Linked DNA regions of Canis lupus familiaris. The protein of the gene in region 1 purifies or fractionates together with the protein of each later gene. This does not show direct contact. Links are inferred from orthologs where the notes say so. Each region holds a gene or a part of one and is shown in the gene's direction. Other genes may lie near its edges.

Evidence for each region.
Region 2: the proteins of CAPN1 (region 1) and CAST purify together in Homo sapiens (co-immunoprecipitation; 4 studies listed by BioGRID and IntAct, counting the BioPlex papers as one, with this or other methods). This does not show direct contact. The link is inferred for Canis lupus familiaris from reciprocal best matches to the Homo sapiens genes CAPN1 and CAST.
Region 3: the proteins of CAPN1 (region 1) and CAPNS1 purify together in Homo sapiens (co-immunoprecipitation; 4 studies listed by BioGRID and IntAct, counting the BioPlex papers as one, with this or other methods). This does not show direct contact. The link is inferred for Canis lupus familiaris from reciprocal best matches to the Homo sapiens genes CAPN1 and CAPNS1.

Annotation. Positions count from the first base shown.
Region 1 is NC_049239.1:52,493,625-52,497,269, reverse strand, and holds part of CAPN1 (calpain-1 catalytic subunit), read left to right. Parts: intron 1-995; coding exon 996-1,174; intron 1,175-2,103; coding exon 2,104-2,115; intron 2,116-2,928; coding exon 2,929-3,140; intron 3,141-3,238; coding exon 3,239-3,278; intron 3,279-3,645. UniProt on the Homo sapiens protein: Calcium-regulated non-lysosomal thiol-protease which catalyzes limited proteolysis of substrates involved in cytoskeletal remodeling and signal transduction. Proteolytically cleaves CTBP1 at 'Asn-375', 'Gly-387' and 'His-409'.
Region 2 is NC_049224.1:12,993,788-12,997,432, reverse strand, and holds part of CAST (calpastatin), read left to right. Parts: intron 1-320; coding exon 321-359; intron 360-1,090; coding exon 1,091-1,183; intron 1,184-1,316; coding exon 1,317-1,409; intron 1,410-2,502; coding exon 2,503-2,607; intron 2,608-3,645.
Region 3 is NC_049222.1:117,400,096-117,403,840, reverse strand, and holds the start of CAPNS1 (calpain small subunit 1), read left to right. Parts: upstream 1-913; 5' UTR 914-985; intron 986-1,893; 5' UTR 1,894-1,911; coding exon 1,912-2,117; intron 2,118-2,135; exon of another isoform or gene 2,136-2,156; coding exon of another isoform or gene 2,157-2,179; intron 2,180-2,196; exon of another isoform or gene 2,197-2,331; intron 2,332-2,466; exon of another isoform or gene 2,467-2,547; intron 2,548-2,979; coding exon 2,980-3,013; intron 3,014-3,286; coding exon 3,287-3,376; intron 3,377-3,531; coding exon 3,532-3,589; intron 3,590-3,688; coding exon 3,689-3,745. UniProt on the Homo sapiens protein: Regulatory subunit of the calcium-regulated non-lysosomal thiol-protease which catalyzes limited proteolysis of substrates involved in cytoskeletal remodeling and signal transduction. Essential for embryonic development.

The DNA of each region.
Region 1 (3,645 bases):
CCAACACCCTGTCTCTACAGATTTGCCTGTTCGGATACTTATCCACATTATAGTACATATCAGTACTCCATTCCTTTTTGTTGCTGAATAATCTTCCATTGTTTGGTTACATCACATTTCTTTTTATCCATTCCTCAGTTGGACAGTTGGGTTATTTCTACCATTTCTCACACTTGATATTATCTATCATTTTGTTTAATGTCACCTGTGTATGGGGGAGGGAAATGCAATGGCTTAGTAGTATCTCTACAAAGCAATTTTGTGTATTGAATCCAGCTCCTGGAGGTTTAGGGAGTCATGGGCAACTCAATCACCAAACTGCCAGAAAAGCAAGTCTCTGTCACTCTTTGCAGTTATGAGGCTCCTGTTAGACCCTGCTTTTTCTCTTTCTTTCCTCAGTCATTGTCCACACAGCAGTTTGGACAATAAGCAACCTTTGCAAATCCAAATCCATTCATGCCCCTCCTGGTGCAGGCCCGTGGGGGATAAGGGAGTGAGGTGGGAGGGGTGGGGAGGTCTTTTTGCTCTCTGACTCAAACCACACTCCTTTCCACCCACCCTGCTCCCACTCCTTTGCTTCCTTTCTGGACTCCTGATGCCCGCCAGAGCCAGATGCTGCATCAGACACTGGCTGTCCCCTCAGGTGTGGGGCTCTTTATTCTCCTTCTCCTGCTTCCCAGTGTCTTCCCAGGGCTTCTTCAGATCTCCCTCAAATGTCACCTCCTCAAAGATGCCTCCCCAGATCAGTTCCAGGTTGCTTATTCTTTGTAATAGTTCTGTTAATTACACTGACTTGCAAATACTTTGCCTCCCCTCCCAGAGAGTGAGCTCAGGAGGGTAGAGATTGTGCGTTCCCACTGAACATCTGTCACATGGCACACAGTGGACAATTAGCAATATTTGTTGGATGAATGGATGAGCAGACACAGTAGGGAGGGGAAGCCTCCACTCTGCGCTGCTCCTCCTCATTCCTGCCAACAACCCACCTCCTACAGCCACCTTCTGGGTCAATCCCCAGTTCAAGATCCGGCTGGAGGAGACAGATGATGTGGACGACGACTACGGGGGTCGCGAATCAGGCTGCAGCTTCGTGCTAGCCCTCATGCAGAAGCACCGCCGCCGCGAACGCCGCTTTGGCCGCGACATGGAGACCATTGGCTTCGCGGTCTACGAGGTGAGCCAGTGGATCTCACAGAACTGGCAGGGAAGGCAGGCCTCCTGGTGCACTGTAGGCGAGCCCCAGCAGGGGGCGCCGGAGGACAACGCCGCCACAGCCCTGAGACAGGTGGCCCTAGACCCTAACCCCTGGAGGCACCTGCTGAGGTTGCTCTTGGATAGAGGGAATCTGGCTTTGTTGACACCTAGGAGGTAGCCTCTAGGGGACAGACTTTGGCTCAGCTTCAGAAAGAAGTAGGCAAGTGGGCTGCCATAGAGGAGTAGTGAGCTCCCTATCTTAGGAGTATGTAAGCAAAAGCTGGCCTATGAGGGCCTTGCTTCACTCACTGTGTTCAAGACAGACATTTCTGGCCCTTCCTGGTGGGGGTAGAGAATGGCCACAGTCTTGGCCCAGAGCTCCTGGCTGCAGACCGGTGTGGACCTCTGATGTCCCTGGACTGTGGAATATTGCAGTTGGCCACTCTGGGGGCTGTCCTGGGTGCTCTGATTCAGAGCCAAGGCCCAGGGCGTTCCGAGGATGAGGGAGGACCCTGCTTGGGCCCCCTTTCCTAAGGTCCTGAGGCCCCTCTCTGGCATGAAGATGGTTCTCAGTCACCAATGGCCCTGGGCCCTGCCTTCTGGTTTCTTCATCCTATCATTTTTTTTTTAAGATTTTATTTATTTATTTGAGAGAGAAAGAATGTGTAAGAGAGAACTAACAGTGGAGAGGGAGAAGCAGGCTGTCCATTAAGCAGAGAGCCTGATGCAGGGCTTGATCCCAGGACCCTGGGATCATGACCTGAGTCAAGGCAGCCGCTTACCTGACTGAGCCACCCAGTTGCCCCTCATCCCATCATTCTTAAGAACTCGGGGCTTCTGCCCAGCATACGCTGTACCCCTGTCTCTGGGCCAGGCATACATCTCTAAATTCCTCCATCTCTCTGGCAGGTCCCTCCGGAGGTAGGTTTGAAACCTGGATCACCTGGATTTACGTATCCCTGAACACACAAGGCCTGACGGTGCCCAGAGGGGAGCAAGTTGGCAGCAAGTCCACACGTAGAGAATTAAGAAGTCATCTCGTTTTACTGTTTATTAACTGCCCTCCTCCCCCAATCCAGGGCAGGGTGGGGGCAAACATTACTGTCCTGGGAGCCAGGGCTGGTAATGAGTGAGGGGGCCGGATTTGAACCCTGGCCCTTGGAACCCCGCCTCCCACCACATCTGAGGCTCTTCCTGTCTTGCCGTTCCCACGGAGTAAGTGCTGGCTGCAGCTGCCAGGGGTGCTGGTTAGGAGCAGAGCAGTGGATACCCTTGAGCAAGCTGCTAAAGCACTAAGCCTCTTTGTCAGTGTCTGTAAAATGGGCATGACAGCAACGGCTCACAGGGCTGTCATGAGCTTTAAAGGAGGGGCCCCCTGGAAGGTACCCTGCACTGCCTGACTTGGGGAAGCTGTGAGTGATAATAATGGGAAAGTTACTGCAATGGTGTCTATATCTATAGACATCTATATCTATAAGGTATCTATGTCTGCCTCCATATTATCTCCTCACCTCTGCCCCATGCAGGAGGTAGGGTTGTCACCTTCACTTCACCTGACGGGGAAACTGAGACAGAATGATTTGTCAGGGTCATACGGACTGCGGGTGACCACCATGACCAGCTCTCCGCCCCCATGGCTAGGGCCTGGAGCCTGAGATCTGGGGCTGTGGGGCAGCTCCTGAGGGTGGCTGAGTGGCCAGCTGCAGCCCCCACTCCCTCCTTGCCTCCCACCAGCTGGTGGGCCAGCCCGCCGTGCACCTGAAGCGCGACTTCTTCCTGGCTAATTCGTCCCGGGCACGTTCGGAGCAGTTCATCAACCTGCGGGAGGTCAGCACCCGCTTCCGCTTGCCACCTGGGGAGTACGTGGTGGTCCCCTCCACCTTTGAGCCCAACAAGGAGGGTGACTTTGTGCTGCGCTTCTTCTCGGAGAAGAGCGCCGGGACGGAGTGAGTAGAAGGCCCCTCCCCAGCGTCCACTTGCCACCTGCCACAGGTCCCCCTGCACACCCCCCTGACTGGCCCCTCTGTCTCCCCCCCCCCTGCAGGGAGCTGGACGACCAGATCCAGGCCAATCTCCCTGATGAGGTGCGTGCCACCCCTGTGCCTTCCTCCTCTGCCTCATCCTGGTTATATCCTGGGGACCTGGGTGTCCTGGCTCCTGGGCTCTGGCTGGCAGGGCAGAGCCCCTCCTGGCAGGAACCATAAAAGTAATCCCAATCCCTCATCTGCCCAGGACTTTATAGTTTGCAAAGGACTTAGAGATAGTGGTAGTGCGGGGTTCCTGAGCTCTTCTCTATTCTAGGTCTGTGCTGAGCTCTTTACTTGGTCACTCTGTTTCTTCTACAACGGCCCTGTCAGGGTGCTGTCACCATCTCCCCCTTCAGTGAGAAACTCAAGTTCAGGGAGGTTAAGGAACTTGCCCAAGGCCTCACTCCCGTCACTGAGCTGAGAT
Region 2 (3,645 bases), on another chromosome or scaffold:
AGGATCTGAGGCCTCCCTCCTTGGTATGTACATGGCCATCTTCCCTCTTTGTGCATCTCCTAGTCCATGTTTCCCCACTTCTATAAGAACAGGAGGCATATGGGACCACCACCTATCCTAATGTCCTCATTTAACCTTAATTATCTCTTTAAAGGCCCATTGTCCAAATGTAGTCACATGCTGGAGTACTAGGGGTAAAGGAATTCAACAATATGACTTTTGGGAAAACACAATTCATAACACTCACTGAGCCTTACATTTTGCCTGTTGTAAAAATTACTTTTGGTCGCTCAACATGACCAAATTAATATTTGTTTCAGAAAAAAGAAGGTATCACAGTGCCTCCTCCAGACTCTTCGGTGAGTTTACATAAATGTTCTTCTGAGATCCAGGTTAACCTGTTTTTAAATCTTTAGTTGTGGGAGGCACCTGAGTGGCTCAGTTCAGTGTCCAACTCTTGGTTTCGGCCCAAGTCATGTTCTCATGTGTCATGAGACTGAGCCCCAGGTCAGGCTCTGTGCTCAGCAGGGAGTCTGCTTGAGATTCACTTTCTTTCTCCCTCTGCTTCTGCCCCCCTCACACTCACTTCCCCTTGCTCTCTCTCTCAAATAAATAAGTCTTTAAAAAAAAATCTTTAGTTGGGGGATATGTCATCAATTCTCTATATTATGTCTATGGCTAATCTCTAAATCAGATTAAGTTTCCATCTGTTCAGAGGCCGGGGATGACGTGGGGGTTGTTTCAGTGCTCATGGATTCATACGTAGTTTTTTTTGTTTTGTTTTGTTTTTTTGTTTTTTTTGTTTTTTTTTAGAGGAAGAAGAATGGAGCCAAGAAAGTTTTGCAGTAAAATAAATGTTAATAGAATGAGAATATCCTAACACGTGATCCATTTAAAAGAGGGAAACAGGCAAATAGGATTAGTGAGCACCCATTCCCTTCCAAATGTAGGCTTTCATCTGAGTTAGTTGATAAGGTATTTTATTTGGTAGTAAAGGAATGTCAGATTATTCTTCCTTTGCTGAGTTTATATTGTGATCCTTAACTTGAATGACTCTCATATATGCCCCATCGTGTCCCTGTTTCTTTAGAAACCCATGGGGCCCAATGATGCCATAGATGCTTTGTCATCTGACTTCACCTGCAGTTCACCTACCGATGCTGGAAAGAAAACTAAGGAAGAGGTATTATTTTAAACATAATTGCAGTGCTTGTTAGAAACCGTATCAGACTTTAAAACAACTTCTTTTTAGTTCTGGTTATTGTAATTGCCCTTCTTTCATCTTTAAGTCTGATCTTTTGTGTTTTGCCTTTCAGAAATCTACAGGAGAAGAGATTTTAAAAGCCCAGCCAGCCAGGGTAACCAAAAGTGCTGCTTCACCCCAAGAGAAAAAAAGAAAGGTGGAGGAGGTATAAATAATTACTTCTTTGAAAATAACCACGGTCCTTCTCCTGACAGCAGTTACTTTCCTGAGCCTGATCCAGCTGATTCAGGATAATCACAATAGAGCGTTATTCCTGATGTGGAGCATCTTTTTTCCCTCGGGTCTGTGTAGATTAGTGAATCCAATCAGGGTTCTATTGATTATCTCCAGGCAAGCCTTCTGTGTTTCTACGAATGCTGTTCATGATTTCAGAACAGTTTTCTTCATTGTGAAACAAGAGTATCTCACCACTAAAATATACAGAAAGACAAGACACCAAAAAAAATTGTACCTTTGGAACATAACATCTTCACCGTGATTTTTTTTTAATGGAGTTTGACCTGTGAATCAATCACTAGTGGAATGTTGGCCTAGCTGTTTCAGGTCACTTCTCCTGACCACAGTCACATAATTGTCACAAATCTTGAAAGGTGATCCAGCGGCTCAAGGCTGGATGAGAAAACGTGCTCCATCTGCAGACAGTCCAGATAGTGCAAGGAGCATGTCTGTTGGATCTGCTCTGCCTCTCCCTTCCTGGAGGGGACAGTTTATTTTTATCTGGCAGGCTGGGGAGCGGTGAGAGCACCACACCCCAAGAGTGGGAGTTCCTACAGCTATTGGCCATTGTGCCTTCAGAAAAGAAGGCTGCAAGGGGCCACTCTGGGTTTCCCGGCTTCCTGGGCTTAGCTAGTTTGCTAAGGGACAGGGTTGTCAGAAATTATTTTTAGAGACACATTAAAAAAAAAACAGGAAAGTGAAAGTTTACTTCTTGGAGCTTTTATTTCTATGCAAGTATTTTATAATAATATTATAGCTTGATAAATAAGGGGTGAAGTGTGCCCCTGAGGGTAGAAACTGTGTAAGACACTGTGGAAGTATCTTAGCCCCAGTATTTTTCACTGGTAAGTTCTTTTTCCTTTCTCTCTTTTCTTAGGTTTCAAGTAGCACTGCCTTCTCAAAGTCCTCTAATCCACGACTCCTCTGACAAATTTGAAATTAGGATTTCACAGAGAAGTGGATGGATTGTGCAGGCTGAGGAGATGTTGTCTTTGTTAATGTACAGAGTTTTTCCTTTTTAGCAGGACGCAATGAGTGATCAAGCACTGGAGGCTCTTTCAGCTTCTTTGGGCAGCCGGAAGCCAGAACCCGAGCTGGACCTCAGTTCCATTAAGGAAGTCGACGAGGTACTGACCTTGGAGTTTATTGATAAAGCGTGTCAGTCTGCAGGTTATGAAACTAACTGCCTTATGCATGTTTAGAATTTTCACACAACTTTGCTTTATTGGAGATTAAAAACAAATTGCTCTTCATTCTATCTTACTTTCAGAGTCCGGTTAACTTAGATCTTCAGTCCTGGGCAGTTAGAGTTTGCCTTATAAACCATCTAGAATTTTAATATTTAAAGTGAATGCTAATCTCTTTTGCCAATGCTTCAGTGACCCCTGACGAGACAAGATAACGTGGAAGCAGTGGCCTGGTGAGAAATAGGTTTATCTGCTCTTGTGGACATGGAAATGTATATTTTCAGAAGGGTTCCAGGTGCCTGTCTTTATAAGGAAAGAGGGAGAATGCTGTCGATGGGATGGGAAGAGGCTTCTTTGTGGAACTATGGAGAAAAATGTTGAAAATCTTGTCCCAAATTAGAATAACATCAAGTAACAATTAACTCTATAAGTGGAGTTCCTGTGTGCTTAGAGTGTGATGATGGGGGGTATTTATCCCACCACACTCTGACATCTTAACAAATCTTCTGAGCCAAAGCAAGTTTCTGTTTGGTGGAGAGGAGTTTTTTTCATGAGATTACAGTTTTTGAAGACTTTTCCAACTGAGTTATCTGGGATAAAAGAGGATAGAAAAGAGGGAATGGCCCTGCCAGCAAGGTAGCATAGTTGGGGAACATGGAAATCCAGCCTGGGGACCCTCAGGGGTGCCAGCCTATCAGCACAGGGAGGGGAGCTGGCAGGTGTTGCTGTCATAATGCTGCTGCCCCCTCTGTCACTTCCTGTTCTGAATCACTGAGGAAGGTGAGTCTCAGTGAGACCCCGGCAACTCTCCCTGAGTCTGGGACCGCTCTGGTCCAAGATGGGCCAGTTTCTATCTTCGGCTTTCTTTGAGGGCTCACCGGGCACAGTGTGGCATGACAAGCTTTGTGGAGGCGAACACAAGGGAGCCGGGGAAGCAGTCCTTGTCCTCCAGGACCAAGTAATGTATTGAGAAGAAAA
Region 3 (3,745 bases), on another chromosome or scaffold:
CAGCCTTGCTCAGAGCCCAAAGGATCCCAGTTATTAAATGTCAGAGCCAGGGTTCAGACTCAAGCTAAGTCAGCCTCCAGGGGAGAGTCGAAGGGGGCCAGACTTTCCAGAAGGCCTGGGAGCCAGATTAGCTCCCTCTGAGGAGCCCTGAAGTTTGGAGGCCGGAGCTCCCCAGAGGGGCTTCCGCTGCCGCCCTTTGCCCTGCCAGCTTCTGCATTCCCCACCCCCTACTTCTCCGCCCGATCTTGGGGACATCTAGCTTCAGAAACCAGGCCAGAGAGACTGACTGTTCGGGTGCCCAGGCCCCTCTTTAGAGATGGGAAGGAGGAGGCGACACTTGGCGCCGCTGACTCGGGGTAAAAGGATGCGGGGGGAGGAGGCACAGGCAACTTTTGTAGGCGGGGAAGTCCTTCCTGCAGTCTGACCGCCACCTGGTTGCTGCAGGGCCCCGGGAAAGCTAGTCCAGCCTTAGCCCCTTGCCCCAAATGCGGGCGCCGGTCCCCGGGCTGTGGGCCGAGCATCCGGGTCTCCAAATGCTTTGTGGCGACAGGACTAGGATCCGGGGCGCGGGCCCGAAGTCCCCTTCCCAGCGGACCGAAAACGGCACCGCGGGGCGCACGGGGGCTCGCTGTGGGGCCAGAATTCACACTGCAACACTAGGGGGGGATCCCGGGCACGGCGACCGCACTGCCCTCAAGGACCGGGAAGACCTCGGATCTCGGAGCGCAGGGCGGGGTCCGCACCCACAGCTCAGGAAACGCGCGGGGCGGAGCCGCGGCGGCCGCTCGGGGTCACGGGAGGCGGGCCCGGCGCGCGCAGGCGCAGCTCAGGCCGGCTCTAGGACCGCGCGGAGGCCGGTCGGGCCGCCCGCAGAGCCCAGCCCCGCCCGCAGCCTGAGTCACCCGCCCCGCCCTGCGGAGCCGGACGCGGCCGGAGGCCCGGGAGCAGCGCGGACGAACGGATCCACGGACGAGTGAGCGAGGCGGTGAGCGCCCGATCTGGATTAGCCCTGTACTCCGTAACCCCGGTCCTTGCGGCCCCCATATCCAACACCCTTAAGCCCTGGTCTCAGGGGTCCCCCCCCCCGACCCATGATCTCAGACTGGAAGCCCCAGTTATGTCCGGCACCAGGTTATCCCCCCCTCCCCCGCCGGGGACTCTTCCACCCTCTGCCTCAGGATCTAAAGTTCGAGCCCGTGGATTTGAGAGGTACTCCTACAAATTATGCTCAGGGTAGGGTCCCCAGAACCACGATCCTTAGATCCGTTCTCCCAATTCTAATGGGCACCCCGTTATCCCAGGCCCCGGGATTCACACCCACAGTCTTAGACCCGAGCCCGCAGAATCAGCGGCGACATTGTAACCCGCTGCTGGGAGTATCGAAACCCTCAAGCTCACATTTCTGGGTTTCCTGAACCCTGCCCCAGAGCCTTCCAAGTGGAGAATCTCTGATCGGCGCCCCTGACCCGCCCAAGACCCCGAAACCCAGCTCTGGGGCTCGATCTGACTCGAGTACCTAGACATGTCAAAGATGTCTTGCACCAGCTTGGGGCCCCCACCTGGAGAAGCCCCCAGACCTGGACCCTTACCCTGGATGATGCCTATGCACTATGGACTCAGTCCAGGGGCCCTCAAGCCAGAAGGAGATCCTTTGGACCCAGAGGGGATTTCAAACCCGATCCTCAGTCCCTGTCCCACCCATCCGAAAACTACCCTCCCCCAGAACCCCAGACCCCATCCCAAATGCACCGTCAAGCCCGAGCCGGAGCATAAGTCCCTGCCCTGAGGCCTCATGTTACTCCCCAAGTCCGGCTGCCAGAAATGCGTATTTTTGTGTGGAAGGAGCGGGCTCCGTGGCGATGCGGCCCCTTGACCCCCCCTTTCCCCCCCCAGGAATTTTAAATCGCAGCCATGTTCCTGGTTAACTCGTTCTTGAAAGGAGGCGGCGGCGGCGGGGGAGGCGGGGGCCTGGGCGGGGGCCTGGGGAATGTGATCGGAGGCCTGATCAGCGGAGCCGGCGGCGGCGGCGGCGGCGGAGGAGGCGGCGGCGGCGGCGGCGGCGGCGGCGGGGGCGGAACGGCCATGCGCATCCTGGGCGGGGTCATTAGTGCCATCAGGTAAGGCGGGGCCTGAGGGGCGGGGCCCGGCGGAGGAGCATGTCCCGCCTGAGTAGATGGAGGTAACCTGGGGCCTGACCTGCAGTCTTCGAGGCTGGGCCACCCGCCTGGAGGGCGCGGGCCGTAGCGGGGCCGCTGGCAGTTCAGGAGGCGGCGCTTGACGTGGGCGGAGTCTGACGGCTGAGGGGCGATCTGCCGGGCGCTGCTCGGGGAGGTGGGGCTTGGGGGGGCGCGGCCTGCCTCCCGGCGGCCGGGAGACGAACGTTAGGGGGGCGGAGCCGCTGAGCCCGGCCGTCTCTTCCCGGGGCCAGGCCTGCCTTGCGGGCGCGGCGTGGCCGTGGTCTCGGGTCAGTGAGGCGCTGGACCCAGCAGAGGCCGAGGCCGAATGGGATGCGGGAGATGATCCTGAAGGAGGTGGATCTGGCTAGAAGTACGACCTGGTCGAGGTGGAGCGGGTTGTCACCAGGGGCCTCATTAACCGTGGCCCCCCTCGAAGGGGTGGGGACTCCTGGAGCTGGTGGGATGTTGGGAAACACGGGTGTTCAGGAAGCCACAGGACGGAGCAGGTTCCTAGACAGAAGGGGCCTGAGGAGGATGGAGCCCCAGGAAGCTGGGTCAGAGCTTCTATGAAGTGATCTGTTGAGGAATCTGTCACTGGGCAGGTGTGCCCTGGCCTGGCCCTGGCCTACCGTAGGGCGGGCCTCTGAGTTTCCTGCCAGGTGCAACCAGGGCAGCAAAGAGGGACCGTTAAGGCGAGCAGAAGGAGCCGGTGGGGAGGGTGGTGGGCTGGAGTTTGAGGGGTTGGGCACCGTCTTTGGAGGCTCCGCACACTGGCGCTAACTCCCTAACTCTCTCCCCTCAGTGAGGCAGCTGCGCAGTACAACCCAGAGCCTCCGGTAAGCCACCCTCTATAATCGGAGACCCTGCTTCTCACTCCCAGGCTTTTTTCCACACCCATCATTGTCCCTTTGTCCCCCTTATGAAATTCCACTCATTAAATCTCTCCCTTGCCAAGGTCCCCAAACTTAGCTATAGCCACTCCCTGCTTTCTGACCATCTCTCATTTCTTTGATCACCCAGCCACTCAGCCCATTCCGACTTTCCCACCAAGGGCTGTCCTGACCCGGGCACCCCTCCACCACTTGCTCTGAGATCTTTTCCCTCTGCAGCCTCCACGCACCCATTACTCCAACATTGAAGCCAATGAGAGCGAGGAGGTCCGGCAGTTCCGGAGGCTCTTTGCTCAGCTGGCTGGAGATGTAAGTAACCCTGGGCCCCTATCTTTGTCCTAAGTCTTCCACATCTTCCTTTGGGCTGCCCTTGCACACACCCCCAAAAATGGCAATCCCCAAAGAATCCCCATTCTCCTTCATGACATTCTTCCCTTGTGACCATCCCTGACTTTTCCCCACAGGACATGGAAGTCAGTGCCACAGAACTCATGAACATTCTCAACAAGGTCGTAACCAGACGTGAGTTGTTGGGCTCAACACATAGGACAGGTTTTGAGTCATGGGTTGCTGGGGTAGTTGTGACCTCTGGCCTTCTGACTTTCAATCTGTCCCCCACAGATCCTGATCTGAAAACTGATGGTTTTGGCATTGACACATGTCGCAGCATGGTGGCCG